7 linked regions of the Callithrix jacchus genome follow. The protein of the gene in region 6 purifies or fractionates together with the protein of the main gene of each other region. This does not show direct contact. Links are inferred from orthologs where the notes say so. Each region holds a gene or a part of one and is shown on either strand. Other genes may lie near its edges.

Region 1 (4,216 bases), on a different chromosome or scaffold from region 6:
ATTTAGGCCTGAATATGCCCAGGAGAAGTAAGCAGCCCTGGAGGAGTTCCGAGAAGAAAGAAGTCAACATGGGTGGGCAAGACCCAGGCAGAAAAGGCACCAAGGAAAAGGTAGGCCCAGAACTGGGGTCTGAGAAGTAAGATTTGGACAGGTGTAGGCTGAGTGGGTTTGAGCGTGTGCAAGGGAGTTACATAGAGCACATACATTAGGTGCCTGTTGGCCTGAGACAAGGCAGAGGGCAGGTCCAGCCCTGGGATGGAGATGCCCAGCTGCAAGTAGAGGTTTGTGTTGGGGCCTAATCAAGGTGGGAGGGGGTGACTGTAGTGTAATATCTGTGGTCCTGGCTCCTGTCATAAAAGTCCATATCTAGCCTTCCCCCAAGTGAGGGATTTACTGGGTCTCATTGCCCCTCCTCAAAGACACCAAAGCTTGCCTGGGCCCTGCAGCCCAAAGGGCTCTCCAAACCAGAGGTTAATCAAAGGTCCAAGAAGAGCCTACCAAGCCCCTCAGTTGCTTCCTCTGTCCTATTCCTCAGAAAGGGCTAAGAGCTCACTGCCAGAGGTACACCGTGGTGCAGTAACTGTACAGTGCGTGGGGCTGAATGAGGGGAGCTGCACTGGGGAAGGGGGCTCTGCTTGAAACCCAGTGGGGCAGGCAGTCCAACAGTGCAGTGCCCTGCCCTCCACCTTGCCCATGCCGCTGCAGCAGGCAAGCAGAGCCGCAGAGGGAGGTGTCTGTGTGCGGAACAAGGCTTGCCTTGACCCCACGTCCCATGCCAAGGGGAACGTGGCCAAACAGAGACCAGCTCTGCGGGGCCAGTTCAGCTGCCGCCTAGGTGCTTGGGCTGTGACGCATGCGGCCGGCCCAGCCCCTCACCACTGGGGGAGCGCAAGCAAAGTCCAGCGTTCGGGCGATCACCAGTGTCAGAAGTGCCTCCAGCAGACAATGACAGCGGCCTGGCGGGCTGGGTATGTTAAGTAACTGCGAAGTTGGAGGGTTTGGCCACCTCGCTAGATCTCTTGTACACACGGAGATGGTATGATGCGTTTCGTACTACAATGACGGACCTTTCGGCTTCTGGCAAGCCAGTGCCCCCCCAAACACCGTGTCCATCGCTATTTTTAAACCAGAGGCTGCAGAGAAAAAAGCGGCCAGTATCTTCCAAGGGAAAAGGAGGTGAGGCGAGGGGGGAGACAAAGCGGCCTTGCAGCTCTAACTCAAGGACTAGCTTGGGCCGCTGCTCTAACCCAAGGACCAGCAAGAGCCCGGCTGCCAGCCAGCCTGCCCGACCGCGGGGGCGGGCGCCAGATGCGCCTGGAGGCCCAGGAGGAGGGGCGCGGCTAGTTGGGGCCGCAAGGCCAAGGTTCTGAAGGGAAGTGTGCAACTGAGCTCAGCCCACAGGCCCGACTGAACTCCTCAGGGGAGGGGGCAGTCTGTGGATGTCTTAATCTACGCCAAAGCCGGTCTCTGTCGGGCCCAAGCCAGAACGCCAGCTTGAGTCCGCAGAAAGGAGGGACAGGCTGGAGATGCACAGGGGAGGAGAGGGGCGGCAGCCAGGCAGCCGGGGTGAGCAGTACCCGTGTAACACAGCTGTTCCAGCAAATGTGCTACAACAAAGCTGCGGAGCTCCCGGCCTACAAATGCACGACTTGGGGTGCTGGCTGGAGGCGCCCTTCCCGGGACTATGCGGCAGCACGTGCGGGCCCATCTCCGCCTCTCGGGAGAGCCGGGAGGGATGGCCCAGGCTAGCCTGCCTGCCTATCCGCCCTCCCCTCCCCCCTCCCCCCAGCGGTGGTCACTTGTGCCCAGGGGACTCAGGCCGCTCGGCCTCTTACCCGACAGTCCGCAAAGCGGGTTCCAAAGGAGAGGGGCGAGAGACCGGGACTCCGACCCGCCCAGTCCTCAGTGCACTCCTCCAGTCCGTAGGAGCAGAGCACGCGGGAATGCACCCGACCGCTGGCAGGCGGAGGCTCCTGGCTGTGCGCAACGCTTACCCGGCCCGGTCAGGTTCCCAGCGCGGTTATTGTCCGCTGCGCCGCCCTTGGCCGGGCTGCAGCCTAGGCTGCCGCGGCTGAGAGCGCCGCCACCGCAGCTGCTGCCCCTACCGCCGCGGCTCCAGTCACCTCCTGCACTGACTCCCCTTCCCCAGGCTTTGGGTAGCTCCCCCATACCCCCTCCCCCCCGTACTCCATGGCCACTGGGTGGGGCATCTGCGTCCTGATTGGCAGGGGCATGACCCAATCACTATGGTGAGAAGGCGTGCCCGGCCCGCCCACTGTTTTCCTTGGTGCGTTTCTCTTTAAATGCAAATAAGTACGGGCGTGGTGTTGGCAGGGGGCGGAGAGGGTGCGGAACCCCTGGCTGGGGCTCCCCTCTCCTGCCCCCACGCCGGGCGGGTAGTGGCGTGGCTGCACCGTGGCCTCAAGGAGCCGCTCCTGCCCGGATGGGGTTCACCGGATCCCTGGAGCTCGGTTTCGGTTTTCACGCACTCCTATTTCCGTGGCCGCTGTGCATTCGCTCTACTGTGCCCTGGCCGCCACCAGGCAATTCATTCCTCAGCTAGAGGCCAGCGGGGAGTAACGAGGCAGAGAGGTTGAGGGACTTTGCAGAACCTCTTAGCACCTCGGCCTGCCCATCCTTAGTCGTAGAGACAAGGCCCTGCGAATCGTGCCCCAGGCCACCCGGAGGAGGGACTCACCTGCCAGGAAAGTCAGCTGCAGCGCCTGCGCCCCAACTTCGTCCTCCTCTCTGGCACACCAGGGCCCTTAGAGACCGTAAAGGCCAACTTCCACCCGTTACTGACGTGTTGCCCCGACTCTGCTGCCCAGAGTAGGGAAAGCCCCTCCCCACAGTTACCCAGCCTGCCGGCGACACGGGCCAATTTGGAATCCAGAGCCCCGGGCTCCCCTTCCAGGATTGCTTTCACTTTTCTTCTCTGAGATGATACCTGTTTTCATAGTTTAACCCTCACCCAAATTTCCCACCTTCTATGGAATGTGGAGGGAATCTCCAAGGTCTCCAGAGTCCCCTTTCCCCCAATCCTTTGTGAGCCTGGCTTTGTGCAGGCCTTTTTCCCTGAAAAGTCTAAATATTAAGAGGAAAATCTTGTCTGGGTCCAAACCGGAGGTCAGCCTGAGGACAAAGTGAGGAGGCCTGTACTGGCCTTGTCTGCTACTGTGTGTAGGATGTGGCAGGGAGCCAGCCGAACTTGGGTCTCTAGCTTAAGGACATTAAGTGGCATTAGTGGCTGCCAGGGCCAGGTGAGCTGAGGCAACAAAGAATCTAGTTCTACCACTAGTTCAAGAATATCCAGAAGGCCCAGCCCTAAAACTCTGTGTGTCTAAAAAGGGAGGTGGGGGGATTAAAGTTAATGATAGGGAGAAGGATTAGAGAACAATGTGTGCTATTTTTGCATTGCAGGAGTGTTCTCTGCTGCTTCTGAGTCCTGGCAGTCTTGAAAAGATCCAGCTGCTGAACTGGTAAGAGGGGGACTGCTGCCTCTGCATGGGTGGAGCACAAGAACTGACATAGCTGCTAGGGATCTGACTCCACCTCTACCTTAGACTTGCTAGACACCTTGGCCAATTCATTTTCCTCTCTGGGCCAGTCCATCACCCCATCACCATGAGGAGAGGGTAAGCATCATCAGGCCCCCTTGATATCTTTGAGATCTGACAGTTCAACTCATTTTCTTTCTATAATATTCCATGACTTTCCATGGAATATTATGGAAAACATATATGTTCCATCACCTTTCATGACATTAAATACATTGCCAGCAAAACTCAATACTGAACATTAGAGTCCCATCCTAGTACCCAGTCTAAATAAATGGTGAGGAGTAAGGAGCTGCTGCTGGCTCATTATGCAACTTTTTCCCATCAGGATGGCTGGACTATAAAGGTTTCCCTGGGGCTATGCTTTCCTGCTTCGCAAAGTCCTGATTCTCATTTGTGGGCCTGATTTTGAAGTGTCTTTTCTTTTCCAGAACCTTCATTATATCTCCTTCCTACCTCATGCCTCTGGTCACTGCAACTTGTTCACATTTTACTCAGAACTTTGATTCACTGAATCAGACCAAGATTATGATTCGGAGAAGCAGTTTATAAACTTGGGATTCAGGGAAACAAAAGGCCAGAGCAGTCTCAGTTGTGGAAGCAGGGCAAGAGGAGGTGTGCGAAGTAGTCAGGTGGCAGGCTCGAAGTAGTTCCAGGCA
Region 2 (3,500 bases), on a different chromosome or scaffold from region 6:
AAAAAATAAAGCTGGTAGATCTGTCTGTACTCACAAGAAAGGATACCACAAGTGGTGGGGAAAGCAAAGTGCAGAAGAGTATGCAAAGAATGTTCCCACGTACATTGCAAAATGAACATGCACACAAATCTGATGATAAGTGGAACTATATAAAATTGCTGTTTCCTGACTTTTTTTTTTTTTTTTGAGACAGAGTCTTGTTCTGTCGCCTAGGCTGGAGTGCAACATGATCTCGGCTCACTGTAACCTTCATCTCCCGGGTTTTTTCCTGCCTCAGACTCCCGAGTAGCTGGCTAATTTTTGTATTTTTAGTAGAGATGGGGTCTCGCCATGTTGACCAGGCTGGTCTCGACCCCCTGATCTCAAGTGATCCACCTGCCTCAGCCTCCCAAAGTGCTGGGATTACAGGTGCAAGTCACCATGTTCAGCCTCTTGACCATTTTTGGTTCAAACAAACAGCAATCTTATTTGACTCGATCTAATGTAAATGTAATATGTCTAAGAAGGCATGTAGAGAAGACCCGGGAAGGCTGAACACAAGTCAATAGGATGGTTCTCCCCCAGGGGATGGGAGAGGCTGGGTGTGCAGGGAGTTGAGTGAAAGGGCCTATTAGCTTTGTAACATTTATACTTTTATGTTACTGAAAATGTTTATCACAAGGATGTCTTCATGTGTTTCATGTGTAAAGACACCTACATAAGAAAAATTAAAGGAATAAGGTAGATCAACATGTTTGAACATGGAAAAACACTGCAAGGTTCTGGAAAATGAGAAAAAGAAAGTACTTTGCAAACAATAGTTACAGTCTATGATTCTATTTGGTAAAAATAAATATGTGACTGGGCATGGTGGCTGACCCCTGTAATCCCAACACTTTGGGAGGCTGAGGCTGGCAGATCACCTGAGGCCAGGGGTTCAAGACCAGCCTAGCTAACATGGTGAAACCCCATCTACTAAAAATACAAAAATTAGGCAAGTGAGGTGGCATGTGCCTGTAATCCCAGCACTTTGGGAGGCCGAGGCGGGCGAATCACGAGGTCAGGAGTTAGAGGCCAGCCAGGCCAATATGGTGAAACCCCGTCTCTACTAAAAATACAAAAATTAGCCGGCCATGGTAGCACTCAAGATCTCAAGATCACGCCACTGCACTCCAGCTTGGGTGACAGAGTAAGATTTCATCTCAAAAAAAAAAAAGTAACAACAGCCAGGCACAGTGGCTCACACCTGTAATCCCAGCACTTTGTGAGGCCAAGGTGGGTGGATCACAAGGTCAGGAGATCAAGACCATCCTGGTCAACATGGTGAAACCCCGTCTCTACTAAATATACAAAAAAAAATTAGCTGGGCATGGTGGCGCGTGCCTGTAATCCCAGCTACTCAGGAGGCTGAGGCAGGAGAATTGCCTGAACCCAGGAGGCGGAGGTTGCGGTGAGCCGAGATCGCGCCATTGCACTCCAGCCTGGGTAACAAGAGCGAAACTCCGTCTCAAAAACAACAACAACAACAAAAAAAAAACCACATACATATATATATGTTAGAATGTACACAGAGAAAAATAGCTGGAGAATACTAATACATGCTAACATATATACTATATATATACATATTAGAATATGCACAGACAAAAATAACTAGAGAGAAAATAATTCAAATTATTAACAGTGAGGATAGAACTGCTAGGACATTAATTTTTTTTTTTTTTTTTTTTTTTTTTTTTTAGTCTGAGTTTTTCTCTTGTTACCCAGGCTGGAGTGCAGTGGCACGATCTCGGCTCACTGCAACCTCCGCCTCCTGGGTTCAAGCAATTCTCCTGCCTCAGCCTCCTGAGTAGCTGGGACTACAGGCGCGCGCCACCATGCCCAGCTAATTTTTGTATTCTTAGTAGAGACGTGGTTTCACCATGTTGACCAGGATGGTCTCAATCTCTTGACCTTGTGATCCACCCACCTCAGCCTCCCAAAATGCTGGGATTATAGGCGTAAGCCACCACACCCGGCTGACATTAATCTATATTTCATGTTTTAATTTTACAATTTTCACAATGTGTTGCTTTTGTCATCAGAAACAAGATGTGACAAGGGGAGAGTTGGCCCCCTTTTATAATAAGAGCCCCAGAGAGGCCCCTGAAAGTAAAGTCCTTCTTTCTGCAGAAAGGATCCTCAGACTCACGAGTGGGTGCAGTTGATGGGGCAAGGCTGGCATGTGCCCTCCTCATCTGGAAACTTCCAGATGGGCATGTAGGAGAGGTCAGGTTTCACACCGCTGGGGCAGCGGGCCACGCAGAAAGGAGAGTCCTTGTAGTGGGCACAGGCCACACACTGGTCAGCCTCCTGGTGGGGTTAGAAAAGGTTTGTGGGGGGCTGACACTGACACCCCCAGAGCAGCAGGGTCAGGTCCCTGGTTGGGTTCACTTCCTGCTTCCCACAGCCACACAGCAGCAATTTTCACTGTGCACCTGGGACAAACACTCCTGCTCTTCACCCAGTCTCTGTGGCCCCTCCCTCAAGGCCCTCCTCCAAGCTGGATCCTGGGCGGGGACTCAGCCAGAGAATGGGAGGCACCCAGAGAGGAAAATGCATTACCTAAGGTGTAACATCGAGTAACCACAGTCACTGCTGTGTAGAACTAGCCTTTCCCGTGCTTTGCTGTGCTAAGCCCTGTTTAATTTCATTCTCGCCACACCCCAGCAAGGCAGGTACTATTACAATACCCATTTTCAGAATGAAAAAAACAAGGTTGGAAGCAGGACCTGGATCTGAATCCAGGTAGTCTGACACCTGAGCCCACAGGGCTAACCACCCTAGCACAGCCACGGCCACGAACAGAGCTCTGGAATTTTTCATCGTCTGAAGGGCCCCTCTCCTGCCACCCTGCTGCTTGTTCAGGTCTGAGCGCTGAGCCCTCTCCAGGGATATTTTACCAGACAGAACACCCTGCCACGTCTTGCCAGCCTGCCAAGTCCCTGGCAATGCCCCCTCGCTGCCTCCCTCCACCCAGCTCTGAGCCTGCCAGCAGCTCACCGGTCCAGAACAGGTCACTGAGCCATTCTGGGGCTGACACTCAGGGTGGCACGGCAAACAGTGTCTGGCATTCACATACTCCCTGGGGAGACTGAGAGAAGAAACAGTGGTGAGGGGGTCTGAGAGGAGCCGCCTGCACCCCTCCAGCCGCCCCTCTCCTCTGCCCTGCATACCCCTGCAGTACTCGGCATTCCTCCACGCATTCCTGGCCCCTAAGGAACTGACTGCAGTTGACACACTGGGTGGGCCCCGGACCCCAGCAGTGCCCTCGGGCGCACAGCGGGTGGCAGGCCAGATCCTTGCCCACTGCAGTGAGGAAGAAGGGATGACGGGGGATTTTTAGGGGAGGCCCTAGGTCCAAGTGAATCAGGGAACTGGCTGTGGGCATGGCTCTTGGCAGCAGGGGTGGGGACAGGTGGGGCAGATGTAGGAAGAGGAAGAGTTCTGAGATTTCAGAAACAGAGGGGGAGGGAAGGAGG
Region 3 (3,500 bases), on a different chromosome or scaffold from region 6:
TGCTGCCGGCCTGGCTCCGGCCAGTACTGCAGGCACGGCTGGGCATGCGCACAGAGATGTGAGAGCTGAGTAGAGCCTGGCCGGGGCTCAGCCCACAGCCATGCCCACCCCCAGGGCTCCACACTTGCCCTGTGGCTCCCACATACCCTGGCCCACCCAGACTCCACTCCAGACTCACCTTCAGCAGCCCCCCAATCCCCACCAATCACCCACAGACTGCCAGGCCCACCTGCTCCAATGTATTCTGTACTGACATGTTCAGATCAGCCAAGGTGAGCCCTTCACAAACAGTGCACTGATGCCTACTGCTATGCAGCTAGAAAGCTACATCTTAACCGGTTCACACACCCCTGCGTGAGGCTGCCTGCTTCCAGTATTAGGCCTGGAACACTCCCACCCACCCCAGAACCTCCCCACAGCCTTCTCTCTCACTGCCTCTGCCCTTCAGCACCAGCTCACAGAGGTGCAGTGTCCTTGGTGCTCAACACAGCTCAGTATTCCCACTTCTGCCCCAGGACCCCTCCCTGGAGTCAGGGTCCTAAATACAACCACCTCCCAGACTCTGGACAGTGGAGGGACAGAGGAGATGCAGCCCCCCGACCACACACACACACACACACACACACACACACACACACACACACACACGTCCTCCAGGCTAAGTAGCCTGAGCCTCAGTTTCTAGTCTCAGCTCTGCCTGGAGCCCAGGAAAGACTCTTCTTTTCTCTTGGCCCCAGTTTCCCCATCTGTAAAATGACCCCCAACCTATTCCAAAAAGACACCATGCTCATCAATCCCCTCTAACCACAGCCCACGATGGGCAGACAGCACCTTCCTCATTTTGCCTCATGTCCTGGCAACCCCGTGCATTCAGAACTCTACACATGCTGCTCCCTCTCCATGGCTCTCTTCCTCCACCTCCTCACTTAGTTAACTCTGCCCTTCCCACACATCTCAGCTCTGATACTACCTCCTCCAGGAAGCCATCCCTGATACATGATCCCCTGGGCTTCTCTGTCCCTGTGCCAGCTCTATGATAGCCCTTTTTCGTCTGTGCTGTCACTGTCAGTTTTTCTACCTGCTTCCTCCTGGACCATGAGATCTGGGAGGCGCCGTGTCTCTTCTCCCTCTGTGTCCTCCCTGCCCACTGCAGGGAGAAGTTCACGGGCAAAGTTGGTTGAGCAGATGAGCGAATCGGTGTCCAGTGAATGATGTCTGTGTGAGCCTCCCTCTGGGCCTCTCCCCTCTATATTCCTGCTGCACCCAGGGGCTGAGGCCGGTTACCCTGCAGTCCTGGGTCATTTTCACGGAGTGCCTGACTCATAAAGAGCTCAGTTACCGAAATCTTCTCAGGAGGCCATTAAGAAGCTGTTGTACTCATTTTACAGCAAACCTTCCTGGTCCCCTGGGCCCAGCAGAAAGCTGGGGTGGGAAGGGGTCCACGTGGTCAAGCAGGGCTGCAAGACTGGGTGTCTGCACTTCTTGAGAGCTCCAAAGGGAAATGGGGGAGACAGAGGGGCTGACACCAGGCTGAGGTCACTGAACCGGTGTCTGAGCCAACCTCAGACGCAGCTGTCACCCTCATCATCTTTGTCCCTGCCATGTAACACATGCCTACTGCACACCAGACAGAGCAGTGCCACGCATCCTATGCACACCTCACCTGGTCCTCACAGTAACCCCAAAAGAACGGGTCCTGTGATGACCCCCATTTTACAGAGAAGGAAAGTGAAACTCAGAGAGGTCAACTTACCCTAGATTAAACAGTCAGAGAGTAGGAGGTGGGAATTGTACTCTACCTTGGAGGCCCCGGTGATGGGCACTTCAGTGGAGTGACTAAAAGAGCAGGAGCTCTGGAAAGAGGCAGCCGAGGCTGGAGCGCAGCTCTGCCCCTCCCCAGCTATGTGGCCCTGGAGAAGACCCTGCACCTCTTTGGGTCTGAATTTTCTGACTGAAGCCTTCACTCCAAGGTCATCATCGATTCTAAAATAAGACCATGAGTGCAGAATAGTCCCTGGCTTAGCAGGGGGCCAGTAAAGAGCGACTGTGGCCAGATGGCTCATGCCTATAATCCCAGTATTTCGGGAGGCCGAGGTGGGAGAATGACTTGAGGCCAAGTGTTCGAGACCAGCCCGGGCAACATGGTAAACCTCTACTAAAATAAAAATTAAAAAGTTAGCCAGGCGTGGTGATGCAGCCTGTAGCCCCAGCTACTCCAGAGGCTGAAGTAGGATGGCTTGAGCCCAGGAGGTCGAGGCTGCACACCTGTGAGCTGTGAGCGTGCCACTGCACTCCAGCCTGGGCAAAAGAGCAAGACCTTGTCTCAAAAAAAGAAAAAGAGCAACTAGTGGTCTCCCATCTGATGCCCTTGTTGGACAGATGAGGAAACTGAGGCTCTAGGAAGGTGTAGGACTCATCACACAGCAAACAGATGGCAGAGCTAGGACCTAACTCTTGACTTTAGGGACCATGCCCTTGAACACAGAGGATCCAGGCAGCAGGCAGCCCCTCAGCCCGGCCAGCGGAGCCCTCACCCAGGCGGAGTTGGACTGGTTCAGCTGGTTGAGCATGACGATGGAGGTGCAGCCGTAGTCGTAGACCAGCCGCCAGAAGTCGGGCGTGGTGCTCTGCAGTGGGTGCAGGGTCACGATGAAGGCCGCGCTTCGCGTATAGCTCTGCAGAAAAACCGGGACTCAGCGGGGCCCTGTCCCCGACCCCTGGCATGAGCTGAGCCTCTGCTCCAGGCAGACTTCCCACCCTGCCCACCCTGAATTGGACAGTTGTGCCCCATAGGACCAGGCTGCCTCCAGTGGCCCACTTCTGATGTTGGCAGGCACATGGAGGCCTGGGTTGACAGGCTGGGCCCAGGCCTCTGGGGACCAAGCCCATGACCCCCCAGAACTGAACAGCAAAAGCTTCCAAAGGTGTGGCGAGGGGAGCTTGGGCACGAGGCTGAGCTCAAGGCAGACACTGGCCAAGCTTTCTCCCCGCCTCCGCACCTCAGCATCTGCTATTTTGGCTGCCTAGGCCAAATTTCCCAATGTCTATATGGCTCTCTCCCTCACTTCTTTCTGGCCTTTGCTTGTCACCTCCTCAAAGAAGCCCTCCTCTACCACCTACCACCTCATAAAAAATTGTTCCCACACAGGTAAATCCACATTAAACACTTCTGCCTGGCTGTTTTTGTAGAAATTGTTCCCAGTGATGACATTTCATTGTATATTTATTTCCTGACTATCCCACTCCACCTCCTAAAAGCAAAGTTCAGGAGAGCAGAGCTTCCAGGATATGGTCTCTGCCCAGAACCCTGGAGGGGCTCAATACATAATCTGAATAAATCTCTAGATCCCTTCCAACTCCATAAATTAAGAATCTGGGGCCCCAACCCAGGCTCCCCAGGCAGTGACAGGCCCCGACGCTGCTCCCTGCTCCCTCGTCCTGCCAGGGAGGCCTACCAGGCCTCCTCCCATCAGCGCTCTGGCCCAGAGGCTCCCCTGGCG
Region 4 (4,011 bases), on a different chromosome or scaffold from region 6:
TGGGGCTTAACGGCACAGTTGCCTAACTCTCTACTTTATTCTGTACTGTTCAGACCTGGCGAGCATTTCACCATCAAGCTCTTGCACCATGATTGACAGGGACACTTTTACTAGTCCTCCTGAAGAATGAATAGTTACTCAACGTAGATTAACCAGATATATATTTATTTTACTCAAGATAAGTATAATTCAGAGAATTATTGCCTTCTAATGTACTAATTGCCATGTGTAGGGGCGTCTTTGAAAATCTGCAATGTCACTGCAATTCTACTAGGCCATTCATGTGACAAGACCTGCTCCCACATCTGTAATTTGGCACAGCTAGTGTTTCTCCTTGCCAAAAAGGGCAAAGGCCTTGAGCAAGAAGCCAGCTTTTTTCCTGATTACAAAACTGACCACAATTCCTCGCCAACCTAATAGCGTATAAGTCTATTTTTTTCTGGTAGTGTGTTCTTCTTACAGAGAACTCCATTTTTTCATTATGACACAGCACTTATCATTTAAACATCAATTGATGTTCAGACATCAACTGATGTAACATTGCTGCAGTTGCAATTGATGGATAAGCTGAAGTTTTTAAGAGAACAAACTGTGACATATAAAATTGAAACCACATCAAACCCTTCTTCATTCTCTCAACTATTTAATTTTACAGAATTTGGATAGCAGTCAGTATCATTTTGGGCTTCACAAACAGTAGAATAAATACCTTAGGAATATAACATTTCAGTAGCATGCTGATACCAATGTTTAAACTATGGATACATATTTGAATTCCAAAGTTTTCTTCAGATAATGTGATTAGAGATTCAACCAGGAATAGACACCAAAAGAAAACTTTGCCCAAATAAGCTTTCTGGTATTTCATAAGCGAGAGATTTAAAGTTTTCCATTTAATAAGCAATTGATGTGAATTTTATGACAATAAAAATGCAAGGCGATATTGAACAGTCTCCGCTCTTATAATTCTAAATACTGTACAGTTCACACCCCTCACAAGACACTCAGCATGTGGGTCACTGGCGAGACAGTGTGGCAATATTATTTTCCCTGTAATGTACCAAGTCTTGCCAAAGCAGTGAACAACATTATGACACAACATTTTGTCAGAGCTGGCTCCTAACAGGACAGTGCCAGCCAATTCAGGCCCAGTCCTTTCTGTGTTTATTCCCATCTCTCCCAAATATTTGGAAACTGATGTCTTAACTGATGGGTGTATTCACAAATTCTGTTACTTCAAGTCTTTTTCTTTCAACGGATTGATCTTTTGCTAGATATAGACAAAATATCAGTGTGAATTACAGCAAACCCCTATTCCATGCTGTTATGGGTGAAACTCTGGGAGATTCTCCAATTGACCCAGAAAGCGATTCCTTCACTGATACACTGTCTGCAAACATATCACAAGGTAAAGTCTCTTCCAGATACGGCTACTGGGGACATGGGGGCATTTATGTAAGGGTAAAATTGCTCTTGTAGTTTGTGTTCCAAGTCATGTTTGTTTTAATATTATCATGTGTACACTCCAGTATTTTAATGCTTAGCTTGCTGCTATGGTGTTCACTTAAAAACATATTCTGAACCTTAAAAAAGAAAACCTAAGCTAATCTGTATTTTATCTCTGTGCATGGCTTCCATTTCCTGAAATTTAAGCATTAAAGATATATCCAAAAAATCTTGTTCATTTTATTTCCTGAGTTTGCATACATTTCCCAAGAAAATGTAGGGCTCTTTAGACTTGAAGGGTCACTTTTTCCTCCTTTCATCTTGTATGTTACAGATCTCTCATAACTGTTTTTATCTCTCTTGCAGCACTTTTATTCTTCTTGAAGTACTCTCAGCTCTTTTCTGTTCTACTTTAAATCTAGATAATTGTGTGTGCACTTTAGCTCTCCCAAAGAATTGTAAGCTCCCAGAGTATGGGGCCAAGTGATGCTCTTCATTAGATTTCTTAGGATACCTCCTAGCATAATGCCTAATGCATTGTAGAAGAATAGCTTGTCGGAACCTTGAAAAATATCTGTTCCAAGCATCACATTTTACACATGAAGAAAATGAGGTCCCTAAATGCCTACTGCATACTAAATAAGTGATTACCTATTACTTCTCTTCAGATATGTCAGAATCAGATACCTTCTTTTCAATATTTCTTTCCTGGCCATTGCAAAATGTAATTTCTATGGCTTCTTCTATTGGAGTTTCTTAGCACCACCTCTACTGTTTGGTATTGTCTCATATCGATGTCTATATTTCTATTCATTTTCTTTTTCTCTTCTCGGAGATTCTGTGTAAAAATAGATTGTTAACTGGTGTGATTCATGTTTTATAATATAACTGCTAAAGCATTAAAATTAAATCACTTAATTGCTGAAATTGATGACTTTACATTTTAACCTTTTAATTTTCCTGGAAGCCTTAAGTTTGGACATATTAATCATAGTTTTTAAAATATCAAGCTTATTAAAAACTAGTAAAAATTGTTTCCTGAAATACTGTTTTATTACAGTCATTTGATTCAACATATATTTATATCATCTAAGCCTCTTAAATAGGAGTTTTGTTTTATTCCATAAAATGCTGTTATTCTGTTTTTCTGCAAGCCATAAAAATTGTTGCTATCTTTCTTCAGTTATTAATTTAGCCTGCCTCAGGGCAAAATGTCCTGGCTATACTATGAAATAGTTCTTGAGTCAAAATTTGATAGTTTTGTCTATTTGAAAAGAACATGTCTAGAATGCAGTACAACAAATATCAACAAATAGGTTAACTGAGAGGCAAGTACTATTTGTGGTGAGGATGGTTGTGTGATTCAAGTTAGTTTTCATTCTCTGCTAATCTCTATTTTTATGCTTTGAATTTACCCTGAGTTTAATTTTTTTTGAGTCTCAATTACCTCTAAAAGAATGATGTAGTACTTTTCTTCCTAATTAACATAATACAGAATAGAATTATTAGCAATTAAAACATTATATTTTATACTAATAATTTAACCCTTGTCTTATAGGGTCTCTGGCTACTTTGTCTTCATAAGCACTGCTTCTCTATTAAAAATGTGAGCTCCTAATGGCCAAAGATCTATGATTGTTACTCCTATTACATTTTATAAATGACCCTTAAGTAATTACTCCATCCCTTCCAAATCAGACAAAAATAAATTGGATATCTGATCATCATTAGCCAAGGCCAGCGGAGTTGGAACACTGTGAAGATGAGGCATTTCACCTGGGTACCGTAGTCCACTTAGTTGCTCCTTCTTCCTCATCATAGACAAAGTGAAATTGGGGTTTGTTGCAAATGGCTGAGTACTGCTACTGAAGAAAAAGTGGCACATTTAGTGTGAATGACTCAGATGTCCAGGTAGATTGAGTATATTCATGAGGTTAAAATCTCAACTACACTTAGCCACTATGCCCAAAGAAGACTTACATACTTTTTCCAAGGCTCCATCATTGCTGTGACCCCTTTATATTGTTCCCTTTTCTTTTTTTATCAAGAGCTCCTCAAGCAACCCCAAATAACCTCATGCTGGCTTTGAAACCATTTCCACTAGTAGAAATTGGCAGGATCGAAGGGAAGCTTCCACAAGCTCAAGCTGAATATGCCTTCTGCTTTTAGTGCCAGACCTAGTCCTGTGTGAATTCTACAATTTTAAGTTGTTGCACCAGAGCCTTGAAGGATGATGACACACTTGTCCTTTGGAGCTGATTGAGCAATGGAAATATGCCTTAGAGACATGATAAATGCTGCAATAGATAGTCCTTCAAAACGAGTCTCTCCTGAGATAGGAGTGAGTGATTGATTGCACACCACTTTTATCAAGTGATACTTAATCTGTGGTTACATAGCTCCAGGCAACCATAGACTCAGAAACATTTAGATAACTGACCAAAGTTTTTACCTTTTCAGAAGTTTAAAGGGATCTTTGTAGTACCAGGGAACATAAGGATGAATCCTGTCTTGGCCACATATTTGCTGTGTGAATTTGAGCACCTCATTTTACTTCTCTGGCCT
Region 5 (3,500 bases), on a different chromosome or scaffold from region 6:
TCAAAATTAAATTTATGCCAAGTCCATATAATTAGGATAGATACAGTAGCAAGTAGCCATCATTTTCTATATGCTAGGCATTGCTCTCAGAGCACAATGGATTTTTGTTTTTATTTTTGAGACAGAGTCTTGCTCTGTCACTGAGGCTGGAGTGCAATGGTGTGATCTCGGCTCACTGCAAACCTCTGCCTCTCGGGTTCAAAAGATTCTCATGCCTCAGCCTCCTGAGTAGCTGGGATTACAAGCACCCACCACCATGCCCCGCTAATTTTTTTGTATTTTTAGTAAAGACAGGGTTTCTGTCTCTACTAAACAGAGTAGAGAGTTACTAACAGAGTAATGAAATTTTAGGCGATTTCACTTCCTTCTTTGTTGTGGGCACTATTTGTTTTTCTATTAGAGCATTTATCAATTCTATAAAACAATAAAATTATTAAAATAAACTAAAAGACTACAGATGCAATTCTTAAAACTCAGTATCGAGGCTTTCAGACCGACGTAAGACAAAATGGTAAACTCTGCAGACATTCAGAGGAAGTGTTAATACATAGATTTATCAACTGGTTGGAATCTTACATGAAACCGGGCTATCTGCTCGCGATCCAGGGGCTTTGTCACTGACAGCTGACCCGAGATGGGGTTGATAATGAAGATACCAGTCGGAGGCTGGTCAGCTCCTGGCCCAGTTACGCTGTACCGCAGTGAAAGGTTTTTATCTCTATCAGACCTGATCTGAGGATCAAGAAAACAATCACATTAAATGACAAACTAAATGAGCTCATTACCAGAGATGGGGCACATCACACTTCATGTCCTTTTTCAGCTACCAAACTTACACTATCTCTTCCCAGAAAATCACTAAAACTCTCTCCTAGTGCCTGTTCTTCCTCTGCTTTTTGGTGATGGGCTTCAAAAGAGATGTCATCTATCACTGGAAAGACTGGAGGCAACATTAACATCTAAAAGAAGACTCACTAGGAGCAGGGCAAAAGTTCCAAATCTACAAGTGTCAGTTTAATTTAAACAATCAAACTCTGTCCTGGGAGTTTCTAGGTTAGATGATTTAAACATTGTTTACATTCTTGCATCAGTAACAACAAGAATGAATTCTCTCCATAGTGTGAAATATCCTCAAATGGAACTCTAACACAGTTATGGTTCAGCCTGAATGTCAGATTTCTGTACTTGCATTGTACTAACACTGTTCACTGCAACCAAAGCTTTCCACATCATTTTAAAGTGACACCTGACATTTTCATTAATAATAAAGTACAAAAGAAAGCATTTTAAAATATATTTTTATATTTTTATGCTTGCAAACATTATACCATTTACAGGCTCACTGCCTTCTCCAAGTACAACTACTCTCAGGAAAATTAAGTCAATGTATGTGCAGTCGCAGGAGACAGACCAGGCTATGAAAGGGGATGAAGGGAGGGAGGCGCAGAGAAATAATAAGAGATCCTCATGTACTAGGTACTTCCACTTAATCCATCAATGAAATCTAGTTGTTTTTCTTTTAGGTTAAAGCAAAATTCTCTTTTCTCTCAAACTTTTTAAAGCAGAAAAAGAAAGAGTATCTTCATTTCAGTTATATTCATTGTTAAACTTAATTATAATGTACATTTGGACAGAATATACAACATAAATAAGTGGCTTATTTTTTTAAAAAACTTTCAGTAAGTATGTGTTAGAATGCTAAAATAATCATATATAGAAACATTTGTATTTTAATAAATGGCAATACAACAACTTTGTCTTACTATCCTTTTGTAATAAATAATGGGTTGTTAAGTTTACTAAAGTGCAAAAATATCTACATTTTTCTTTTTGTAGCTGATGGCATGTATCTAGAGTAAATAAAAATACAGATTTTGAAAGCCTATGATTTTACATTGCCCTGGGAATTCTGTTAATGGTATCAGAGGTCATTCTTTTCTTTAAAAAACTCTCAAATGCTTTTGATGCTGGCATTTTTAACAATGATGGCCCTTTATTTTTTGTGTGGCCCAAAAACTATCTGTAGAGGGCAAAGATCATCACAGAGAGCCCAGCTTTCAGACAGGGAAGCTTAGGTGTGTGTGTGTTGTGAGGGTAGAAACGGTATGGATGGGAATGTATCTTGGCTTTAGGGCTTGTGTAGTCACAAACTGAACAAGCTTTCTAATCCACAGTGTACAGGGCCTACAAGAGAGCTCTGCTTATAAATAATCCGAGAGGTAACAAAGAAAATGAGAAGAGGCTTTCTCAACATTACAGAAATTCTATCTATACAGAAAAACACTTTAAGTATATACATGTCATAAACTCTACTTCGTTAAAAACAAAATAGAAATATTTCTAATATACATTTGGCTTATGCTATGAAAACAGTTAAAATTGTGCCACCTTACCCTGACAAGCTCTTGAGGAAAAGGTCCCCTGGAGTTTTCTGGCAAGTTGATTGGAGGGATGACCCAGTCTCTCTTCTGCCTTTGTAGGTGGCCACTGTGCTTACCTAATTGTCTTGGGAATACTATTTCTTCAACTTCTGTTGACTCCTTTACATTAAAATATAATAACACATTCCTGAATACTAGGAAAAACATTTTCTGAAAGTAGATCAATATTATTGAATACCTGAAAGCGTGGGAATCACAGTTTATTATGAACAAAAAATGTCTGGAGGCCCTTTTCCCTGGCCCCCTATTAATATAACAGAAAACACCATAAAATTTTTGGGTTACACTGTATCTGAAAAATTGAATTCTAAACAATTTTTTATATGGCACAGCTGTGTAAACTATTTGCAGTTTCTATAAACCTTCTTAGATAGTAGTTAATACTGAGCAAAATTTAATAGTACCCTTTTATATATTTCTCATTAGTTTAAACCACAGTTCAGGTAATGTGCTACTGTACATTAAATTTAGATCTTGATGTGCTAAAATATAATTTGAATTCCAAGAGAAGTTTAATACATGTTGCTAAGGAATGTCTCGAATATTTATGACCCTATTAAATCCCACAGAATTAATGCTGTAATTATTCTAAACCTATGTCAGCCATGATGGATGCTGTAGATGACCCACTTTGCACATTAGGTATTAATCTCTGCTCGATGTCAACATTTTCTTCTGCTTCTCCCTCTATCTGTAGACATTTTCACCATTAGCCCTTGCTGCTTCAGTGCAAATATCCAAGCTAGTTTGCTGGAACATAGCAAATCAACAACAAAAGCATCTTTTCACTCCATTAGTTACTGGTTTTTCACTTTATATTACCCAAATGACATGACTTCCTTGAACAGTTAATAGATTAACAAATTGAATTTCACATAATAAAACCACAACACTGAAATAAGAGAAAAATGATATATTTTCCTCTGATACATTATTCATGTCTGATTGTGAGTATATTACATTTACAATTAAATACCAGAAATGAATATGTTTATTTCTATCTCTCACAGTATAATAAGTATAAACAAAAGTAGTAGGTAGGCATAGTTCCATAGTCCA
Region 6 (4,034 bases):
TAGGCTCAAAGTACAAACTTAAAATTTACCACCTACTCATCTACCATTATTGGTTATCAGCAGCTAGGAAACCACCAAAGAGAAATAAAATAATCTTGTAACAGGACAGACGTGTTATTTCATTTCAATAACACTGAAGTTTCATTTAACTGAATATGTAGTCTGTTGCAGGAGTTGTAATTTCACTGCTACTTATAGTAACAAAATAATGATATTGAAACTGTGAATTCTCCACATCCCTAGTTTCAACAATATTTAGCATGCACCTCTCCCCACCACGCCCTATAACAAAAAAGGGTATCTATGACAGTTTTTGGTAACACATTTCAAAATACTCTTAAAGAAACTTGCCTCCTCATTTTCTATCTTGGTGGCGATGTTATGAAAACAAGCACAGAGACCCTCATTTATGCCAATTTTTATCCAGTCATCAGGAACAGTAAGAAGCTCAATCTGATAATTTTAATATTGGCAATACACTTTTCTATATCATCATCTTGGTAAAGGAAATAATCCAGTAACAGTTTTAAAAACCCCTCGATACTCTGAAACCTGAACACTGTTAAATGCTTCATTTTTTATTAGCCGCCTTATTTTTTTTTTAAGTTGTTTTCTCCTGAAAACTTTTAAATGGTTGCTCTGGTCTGTGGGAGACTCACGACTCCTGAGGACTCTAAAGTTACATGCTATACTAAGCTCTCTAGCACAGGTTTTTACTTCTCCCCACCCCCAGGACTTCAGACTTGAATAGTTTCAGCATTCCTTTAATCCTACAGAAAAGACTTCTGAAAGTTTTTCAAGTTATTGTTGCAATAATCTCAGGGCCTTGTCCTTGTACATGGCCTTCAGAACAAAGGTTAGGTCAAATTAATGAATATTGGGCGCAAATTAACTAAATTTTGTCTGGTGTGAAAGGACATCCTCAAACCCTTAAAGGTACTTTTTTTTAATCAGAGATTTTTCAAAGATTTAAATATAAAAGTAAAATAAATGTCGCAGCAGCCTTAGTTCAAACGAAACGACTCCAAAGTAGAAATTTATGTCAACAATTTAAGCGGATAGTAATATAAATAACACTTCAGGCTATATTTACTATTTCTCAGGATGAATACAAATCGATCGACACGAAGACATCTGAAGGTACTGAATGTTCGTTCACCAAGTGACAAACACTGAAATGGCTTCCTAAATTCCAGACAAACTACTTTACAACTTAGCGATCTGAAAAACATTAGCGTAGACATTACCAAAGGAAATGCTGCCGTCCCTTCAAGCCTAAGCCACCATTATTCACGATACAAAGCTCTCATTGCACTAAAACCACTCCTCGATTTCCTTTTGCCGACCTCTGCATACCAGCAGCCTGGTCTTTCTTCATTCACCACTCACAAACTCGAGGGGTGGGGGGCCGGGGACGGGGGAGACCACAGATGTCTGCAAGATACAAAGTATGAGACAATGTCCCTCCACAAGGGAACAGAACGAAGGGAACAACTACACCCAGTGCCAAAGCTTTCCAGCTTGGCAGATTCAGAAGCGGGCTATAGGAACTCAACTTCGAAAAGTCTCGGTTCAAAGTCCTCTCTCCAGACAAAACAGAGAAGTTTCAACTGCTTGAATTGCATTTGGCCGTTTTGCAAAGAAGGAAAATTTCATTCACTCCGCTGAAAAGAAAACGTGCTCTAAAAATCAAGTTTAGCTGCCATCAAACTATTTGAATAAATTTAAATTATTTCAAACGAACAAAATCCTCGAAGCGGTCCGAGTCAGAGGCCGAATCCTGCAGTTTACGTGGTAACAAACAGTGAGCCATCACCTTCGCCCTTCCTCCACCCCCTTGTTTCACTAGGGTCTCATGCCCACTACCATAAACCCAGAAGACTCCCCTACTTTATCCACCGCTTTCACTCACCTGCACGGTACGCTAAAATAGTGCAAGACACGGATTTTCTACGTGCACACCCTACTGACGCATCGCACCGACCGCACTCAGAGTTTACTCTAAGGTTTAAAGTTGCTTCGATTCAAACTCACACAGGCAGGGCATTACCAAAAATTAATAATAATAAAATTAACACTTCTATTCTTCCGAAATCTTAAGAGAAAGTCCACTCGGCGGATCCCCAGGACAGATGGGACTTAGGGTGGCGCTCCGGCCTGAGCCCCCGAACCCCAACTCGCCGCAGGAGCTGAAAAGGCGGAGCCCCCGGTCCCCACCCCGCCCCCCACCCCACCCCGGGCCCCAGCGCATCCCGAGGCACAGGGTCCCTCCCCCAAACTCGGCCAAGGCCGGAGCCCCGCACAGAAACCACAGACCCCCACCCCCACTCCCACCCGCCGGCCATCCGGGCTCCTGGACGCGACCCCGCGGCACCCCCTCCCTGCAAGCGATGCCCCCGGGGCCCCTGAGGGGCAGCGCGACCGGAACCCGGGCCCGGCCACCGCCCTCCGCGCCCCGGGCGCGTCCCGCCCCCGCCGTCCCCCACCCGAACCCCCGCTCCCCACCCCAGGCCTCCGGGCTGTGCCCGGCCCGGCTCCCAGCCCGCCGCCCGGACCGCGCGCCTGCGACGAAGTTTGGCTCCGAGAGGAAGCGGGAGCAGCCCCGGAAGGATAAGGAAAGGAGCGCCCAAGCACCTCAGGGGAACAGGCTCCTCCCGCCGCGGGAGTCCAACCGTCCTCGACCTGCGGTGGCGGCTCGGCGGGCACTGAGGCTGCTCGTCGGACCTTCCTCCGTCTCCGCCTCCCCTCGCTCTCCGCTCCCGGGGCCGGGCTACCGCGGCTGCCACAGACCGAGAGACTTAAAATGGCGCCGCACAAGGAGCTCTTATAAGTCGCGCGGAAGCCGCTGTATCCTGCCGCCGCCGGCACCGCGCGGAGCGTTCCGCCGCGCGAGGACACGGGGCGGGGCGCGAGAGGGCGGGGGAAAGTAGTCCCGCGCCGCCAGCCGTGCGCGGCCCGGCAGTGCGCCGCCGTGAGAGCGCTCCGGGTCGGGGCGGGGGCCGCGCTCGCCGCGGACGCTCCCCACGGACGCTCCCCGGGCGCAGGCTGGCGGCTGCCTGCTGCGCGGGACCGGAGGGCGGCCCCGGAGGGCGCCGTGGTCTGCGTCGGGGAGGCCGGGCCCCTGCAGGCCTGGGTGAGGGAAGGTGGCCCCGTCTCCTCCCCCGTCCCAAGCCCGACGCCCCCGCCCCGCGCGTTTCCCGAGCCGGGAGAGCAGCTGCAGGACTCGGCGCGCCTTTCCCGCGGCCTGCGGAAGGTGGCTCCTCGGCCCCGGCCCTCGGGGGCCGCGCGGGGCGGGCGGGACGGGTCCTCGGAGGGCGGAAGTTCGGGGCGCTCCTGGGCGCCGCCGCCGCCGCCGCTGCCCCGTCGCCAGTCTGCGGACTCCCGGCCCGGCGCGGGTGTCGGGGCCTTACGACCTTGCGGTCTGTGCCGCGCACTCCCTGCTGGACCTGGCTGGCAGCCCAGTCTCGCGGCACCCAGAGGCCCCCCACTGTCCGGATGGTGGGTCCCCCCCCGCAGCGGGCGGCTCAGCTTGAGTTTCGACCTGAATCACCGGGCCAAGCCGCCCTCGATCCCGCTCGCGAGGGCTGTGAACTCCCGGAGAATGGGCGCCAAGCCCGCAGTTCAACAAGTCCTTCTGAGTACCTACTGTGAGCAAGTAACTAGTGGAAATGGATTCGCTCCGGAGCACTGTCCATTAGCTTAATTATTATAGATTCCATTTTTATCTGGTTCCACTTGTCACTAGGTATCAATAGATTTATTTGTGGGGATTTTTTCTTTGGAGAAGAAGGTTTTTACGGTATTACTTGAGAAACCAAAGTATGTTTATAGAAAAAGCGATCGATTAGACAGCCTCTAATATTTTTAACTGACTTTAAAAACGTTTTTTAATTAATTTTGATAGGCTGAAAAATGTTTCCCATTGTAATGCAGCAAAATTGGCGTTTGTCAAAGCTGCAACAATTACGATCGCTTCACTTTCTCTATTCTATTGTTTGTGCTTATTTTTCCTCCAAAACATTGGAGAGAGTACA
Region 7 (4,263 bases), on a different chromosome or scaffold from region 6:
ATGCCCCAGGCACTTTCTGGAAACACTTCCATAGGTTTACCCCTGTAATCCTTACAACACCCTGTGAGGTAGAGCTTAGATTCTCCATGTTACCAACGAGGTCACTGACACACAGAAAGGCTGAGTGACTTGGCCAAGATCACAGAGCTTGTAAGTGGCAGACGCAGGCATCAAGCCCAGGCCATGTGGCTCTGGGACACACTTTTTTTTTTTTTTTGAGAGGGAGTCTCACTCTGTTGCCCAAGCTAGAGTGCAGCGGCACGATCTTGGCTCACTGCGACCTCCACTTCCTGGGCTCCAGGGATTCTCCCACCTCAGCCTCCCAAGTAGCTGGGATTACAAGCACCCACCGCCACACCTGGCTAATTTTTGTAATTTTTGTAGAGACAGGGTTTCACTACATTGGCTGGGCTGATCTTGAACCCCTGACCTCAGGTGATCCACCTGCCTTGGCTTCCCAAAGCGCTGGGATTACAGGTGTGAACCACTGCACCCAGCCCTCAGGACCGACTTTCTTAGCTAATCTTCTGCTTTTTAGCCTTGAGATGGGGATGATGGGTCAGAGCCTGGCCTGAGAGCCAAGTAGCAAAGGGATTAGGGCTAGGTGTGGTTTTTAGGACCTTAATAAGTCACGGAGGGCTCAGGGCTCAGCAATTCCGTGTGTGCTGCCTAATTAATTACATTCCAATAGCAACCCTCAGGGCAAACCACTTGTGCCAGACTCTGTAGTGGCTGTTTTACCCATGGCAATGTCAAAAACAGCATTTTGGCTGGCACAGTGGTTCATGCCTGTAATCCCAGCAGTTTGGGAGGCCAAGGCTGGAAGATACTTGAGGTCAGGAGCTCGAGACCAGCCTGGCGAATGAGGGTAAAACCCCGTCTCTACTAAAAATCCAAAGATTATCCAGGCATGGTGGTGCACACCTGTAATTCCAGCACTTTGGGAAGCTGAGGCATCACCTGAAGCTGAGGATCACTTGAAGTCAGGAGTTTAAGACCAGCCTGGCCAACATGGTGAAACCCTGTCTCTACTAAAATTACAAAAATTAGCTGGGCACGATAGTCCATGCCTATAATTCCAGCTACTCGGGAGGTTGAGGCATGAGAATTGCTTGAACCCAGGAGATGGAGATTGCAGTGAGCTGAGATCCTAACACTTCATTCCAGTCTGGGTGAGAGAGTAAAACTCTGCCTCAAAACATAATAAAAAAAGTAAAATAGGCCGGGCGTGGTGGCTCATGCCTGTAATCCTAGCACTTTGGGAGGCCAAGCCGGTGGATCACCTGAGGTCAGAAGTTCAAGACCAGCCTGACCAACATGGTGAAACCCTGTCTCTAACAAAAATACAAAAATTAGCCAGGCGAGGTGGTGCATGCCTGTAATCCCAGCTACTTGGGAGGCTGAGGCAGGATTATTGCTTGAACATGAGAGGCAGAGGTTGCAGTGAGCCGAGATCCTCCCATTGCACTCCAGACTGGGCAACAAGAGCAAAACTATCTCAGAAAAAAAAAAAAAAAAAATGGCAGCTCTTAATACCATTGTCCCTACAACACACCGGCAAGCTGGACTTTATAACCATACTAAAGGTAGAAAGTGAAATTCCGGGAGACAAAGTGGCTCCTAAAGACTGAAACCGTCAGCCGGGTGCAGTGGCTCAAGCCTGTAATCCCAGCACCTTGGGAGGCTGAGGCAAGTGGATCCCTCGAGGCCAGGAGTTCGAGACCAGCCTGGTCAACATGGTGAAACCCTGTCTGTCTCTATTAAAAAAAAAAAAAAAAAAGACCGAAACTGGGACCAGAACCCATAGCCAGGTTCTCTTTCCTGCAATCCCCTGCTGCCTCCCTAGAGAACTCTAGCTCACTGGATGTGACTTCCAAACCTTTTGCTAAATGGTTGCAGCTCAGTCACCTGGGTAGAGGCCAGGCTGGCCACTTCTAGAGAATCTAAGATGTCTGGACCAGTGACCATCTCCTCTCCCCTCCTCCACTGTCCAATTTAATTTCGTCTATTTTCTGGGCACTGAGTAGGCACATAGCTACTCCCTCCTGCTGTCCCTCAACTGGGAGCAGTTTTCCCAGATACTACATGGCACCCTCCCTTATTTCACTCAGGACACTCTTAAAATGTCACCTCCACAAAGATGCCATTGCTAAAGCCCTATTCCAAATGAAAACCAATGTCACTTTCCAGAGCTGACCCCTTCCCTTGTTTTGTTTGTTTTGTTTTCAGATGGAGTCTCACTCTTGTTGCCCAGGCTGGAGTGCAGCGGTGGGATCTCAGCTCACTGCAACCTCTGCCTCCCAGGTTCAAGTGATTCTCTTGCCTCAGCCACCGGAGCAGCTGGGATTACAGGTGCCTGCCACCACGCCCGGCTAATTTTTGTATTTTTGGTAGAGACAGGGTTTCCCCATATTGGCCAGGCTGGTCTTGAACTCCTGGCCTCAAGTGATCCACCAGCCTCGGCCTCCCAAAATGCTGGGATTACAGGCGTGAGCCACCGCGCCCGCCCTTTTAATTTATGTTTCACTAGTCTCCCATGATTTAGTTTGGGTATAAAAGGTTTTACAATTAAAAATTCCTTTCCATAATTTGCCCACTCCAAGAAGTAACCAATGTCACGTTTTGTGTCCTGCTCCAGCCTATTCCTGTTTACAGTGAGTCCTCACACCCGCCGTTTCAGGTTACACAGGCAGTGCGGCCGAGAGCGCGTCGGCCAAGAGGTTTAAGGTCCCTGCCCGGCCCCACTCACCGCAGCCAGGTAGCCCCTCCACCCTTCCTGCTCGGAAGTCCTGCGCGCTCCACCCACGGACAGGTGGGTTCGTTTGGGCACGCCCACTTCCGTCTCATGAGCCAATCGAATACGTTATGCAAATTGACACACGTCCCCGACCCTCAGGACAACCAATGGTTGCGGAGGCGCCGCAGGTCGCCCAAGTTCCGGTTCTCACGATGCTCTAGGAGCTCTGCCACGTTTCTCCTGCCGCAGGAAGAGCTGAAATTGCAGGAGCCTGAGAAACAAGCAGCCATCAAGACTGCTGAAGCGAGGCCGACGGCCCTGCAATCACAGGCCCAGGCTTCCAGGAGGCTGCAGGTCATGTCGCCTGATCCCTGGCCTGACCCCTTCCCTCCCTCCGCGTAATTCTTGCCAGGTGCCAGGTGCCCGGTGCCCACGTAGTCGAACGCAGAGAGAAATCACTGCAGACATAGCCACGCTGCTCTGAGTCAGCAGGAGAACCAAGGCCTTGCTGCTGCGGGTCAGAGCCTTTCAGAGAACAAGAGTCAAGTTCAAATTCTGCATCCACCACTTGTTAGCTATGTGACTTTAGGCAATCCGCGTCACCTTTCTAAGCCTCATTTTCTTCATCTGGAAAATGGGAATAATAACACTGCCCTTCCAGCTACGATATGAGGACCAGTGGCTAGTCAAATGGAAAACACGATGGTCTTTGCAAGCCATTACGCTTGGTGGTTAAGAGTATCACTTGGGGCCGAGTGTGGGGGCTCACGCCTGTAATCCCATCACTTGGGTAGGCAGAGGTGGGCAGATCACCTGAATAGCCTGACCAACATGGAGAAACCCCGTCTCTACCGAAAATACAAAATTAGCCAGGCATGGTGGGGCGTGCCTGTAATCCCAGCTACTCAGGAGGCTGAGGCAGGAGAATTGCCTGAACCCAGGAGGCGGAGGTTGCGGTGAGCTGAGATCGCGCCATTGCACTCCAGCCTGGGTAACAAGAGCGAAACTCCGTCTCAGAAAAAAAAAAAAAAAAAAAAGAGTATCACTTGGGTTAGACAGATTGGAATTGGAATTCTAGTTTACCCAGTTAGTTGTGGTCCGACCTTAGGCAAATTACTTACTTTACCCTCTGATTCTCGCTTTCTTCAACTGTAAAGAATTCCATGGGCTGTTGTTAGAATTAAATGAGTTAAGGTGTATTGATTGATTAAGACAGAGTCTCTCTCTCTATCACCCAGGTTGGAGTGCAGTGGCACAAACGCAGCTCACTGCAGCCTCAACCTCCCAGGCTCAAACAATCCTCTGGTCTCAGCCTCGCATGTAGCTGGAACTACGTGGGAGGCTGCACCAACACACCTGGCTACTTTTTTTTATCATTTTTTTATAAAAATGGGGTCTCACTGTGTTGCCCAGGCTGGTCTTGAACTCCTGAGTTCAAGCAATTCTCCCACCTCAGCCCCACAAAGTACTGGAAATACAAATGTTAGCCATTGTGCCCAACCTGAGTTAAGGTTTTCAAGGCACTT

What was found.
Region 1: the proteins of CTNNB1 (region 6) and AMER1 purify together in Homo sapiens (affinity purification with mass spectrometry; 4 studies listed by BioGRID and IntAct, with this or other methods). This does not show direct contact. The link is inferred for Callithrix jacchus from reciprocal best matches to the Homo sapiens genes CTNNB1 and AMER1.
Region 2: the proteins of CTNNB1 (region 6) and ERBB2 purify together in Homo sapiens (affinity purification with western blotting; 3 studies listed by BioGRID). This does not show direct contact. The link is inferred for Callithrix jacchus from reciprocal best matches to the Homo sapiens genes CTNNB1 and ERBB2.
Region 3: the proteins of CTNNB1 (region 6) and PTPRU purify together in Homo sapiens (affinity purification with western blotting; 3 studies listed by BioGRID). This does not show direct contact. The link is inferred for Callithrix jacchus from reciprocal best matches to the Homo sapiens genes CTNNB1 and PTPRU.
Region 4: the proteins of CTNNB1 (region 6) and PPARG purify together in Homo sapiens (affinity purification with western blotting; 4 studies listed by BioGRID). This does not show direct contact. The link is inferred for Callithrix jacchus from reciprocal best matches to the Homo sapiens genes CTNNB1 and PPARG.
Region 5: the proteins of CTNNB1 (region 6) and CDH2 purify together in Homo sapiens (affinity purification with western blotting; 18 studies listed by BioGRID and IntAct, with this or other methods). This does not show direct contact. The link is inferred for Callithrix jacchus from reciprocal best matches to the Homo sapiens genes CTNNB1 and CDH2.
Region 7: the proteins of CTNNB1 (region 6) and MYH9 purify together in Homo sapiens (affinity purification with mass spectrometry; 3 studies listed by BioGRID, with this or other methods). This does not show direct contact. The link is inferred for Callithrix jacchus from reciprocal best matches to the Homo sapiens genes CTNNB1 and MYH9.

What each region holds. Positions count from the first base shown.
Region 1 is NC_133524.1:61,521,405-61,525,620, forward strand, and holds the start of AMER1 (APC membrane recruitment protein 1), read right to left. Parts: upstream 2,801-4,216; 5' UTR 2,699-2,800; intron 2,134-2,698; exon of another isoform or gene 1,836-2,133; intron 969-1,835; exon of another isoform or gene 847-968; intron 1-846. UniProt on the Homo sapiens protein: Regulator of the canonical Wnt signaling pathway.
Region 2 is NC_133506.1:120,178,185-120,181,684, reverse strand, and holds part of ERBB2 (receptor tyrosine-protein kinase erbB-2), read right to left. Parts: intron 3,328-3,500; coding exon 3,195-3,327; intron 3,113-3,194; coding exon 3,022-3,112; intron 2,332-3,021; coding exon 2,171-2,331; intron 1-2,170. UniProt on the Homo sapiens protein: Protein tyrosine kinase that is part of several cell surface receptor complexes, but that apparently needs a coreceptor for ligand binding. Essential component of a neuregulin-receptor complex, although neuregulins do not interact with it alone.
Region 3 is NC_133508.1:65,979,851-65,983,350, reverse strand, and holds part of PTPRU (receptor-type tyrosine-protein phosphatase U), read right to left. Parts: intron 2,676-3,500; coding exon 2,535-2,675; intron 39-2,534; coding exon 1-38.
Region 4 is NC_133516.1:69,515,814-69,519,824, forward strand, and holds the start of PPARG (peroxisome proliferator-activated receptor gamma), read left to right. Parts: upstream 1-1,211; 5' UTR 1,212-1,326; coding exon 1,327-1,408; intron 1,409-4,011. UniProt on the Homo sapiens protein: Nuclear receptor that binds peroxisome proliferators such as hypolipidemic drugs and fatty acids.
Region 5 is NC_133514.1:71,258,818-71,262,317, forward strand, and holds part of CDH2 (cadherin-2), read right to left. Parts: intron 2,541-3,500; coding exon 2,394-2,540; intron 733-2,393; coding exon 577-732; intron 1-576. UniProt on the Homo sapiens protein: Calcium-dependent cell adhesion protein; preferentially mediates homotypic cell-cell adhesion by dimerization with a CDH2 chain from another cell. Cadherins may thus contribute to the sorting of heterogeneous cell types.
Region 6 is NC_133518.1:78,994,435-78,998,468, reverse strand, and holds the start of CTNNB1 (catenin beta-1), read right to left. Parts: upstream 2,801-4,034; 5' UTR 2,770-2,800; coding exon of another isoform or gene 2,133-2,769; exon of another isoform or gene 1,913-2,132; intron 1-1,912. Other genes in the region: uncharacterized protein LOC144579968, read left to right, coding at 2,133-2,769, 2,832-3,703. UniProt on the Homo sapiens protein: Key downstream component of the canonical Wnt signaling pathway.
Region 7 is NC_133502.1:207,356,032-207,360,294, forward strand, and holds the start of MYH9 (myosin-9), read right to left. Parts: upstream 2,801-4,263; 5' UTR 2,750-2,800; intron 1-2,749. UniProt on the Homo sapiens protein: Cellular myosin that appears to play a role in cytokinesis, cell shape, and specialized functions such as secretion and capping. Required for cortical actin clearance prior to oocyte exocytosis. Promotes cell motility in conjunction with S100A4.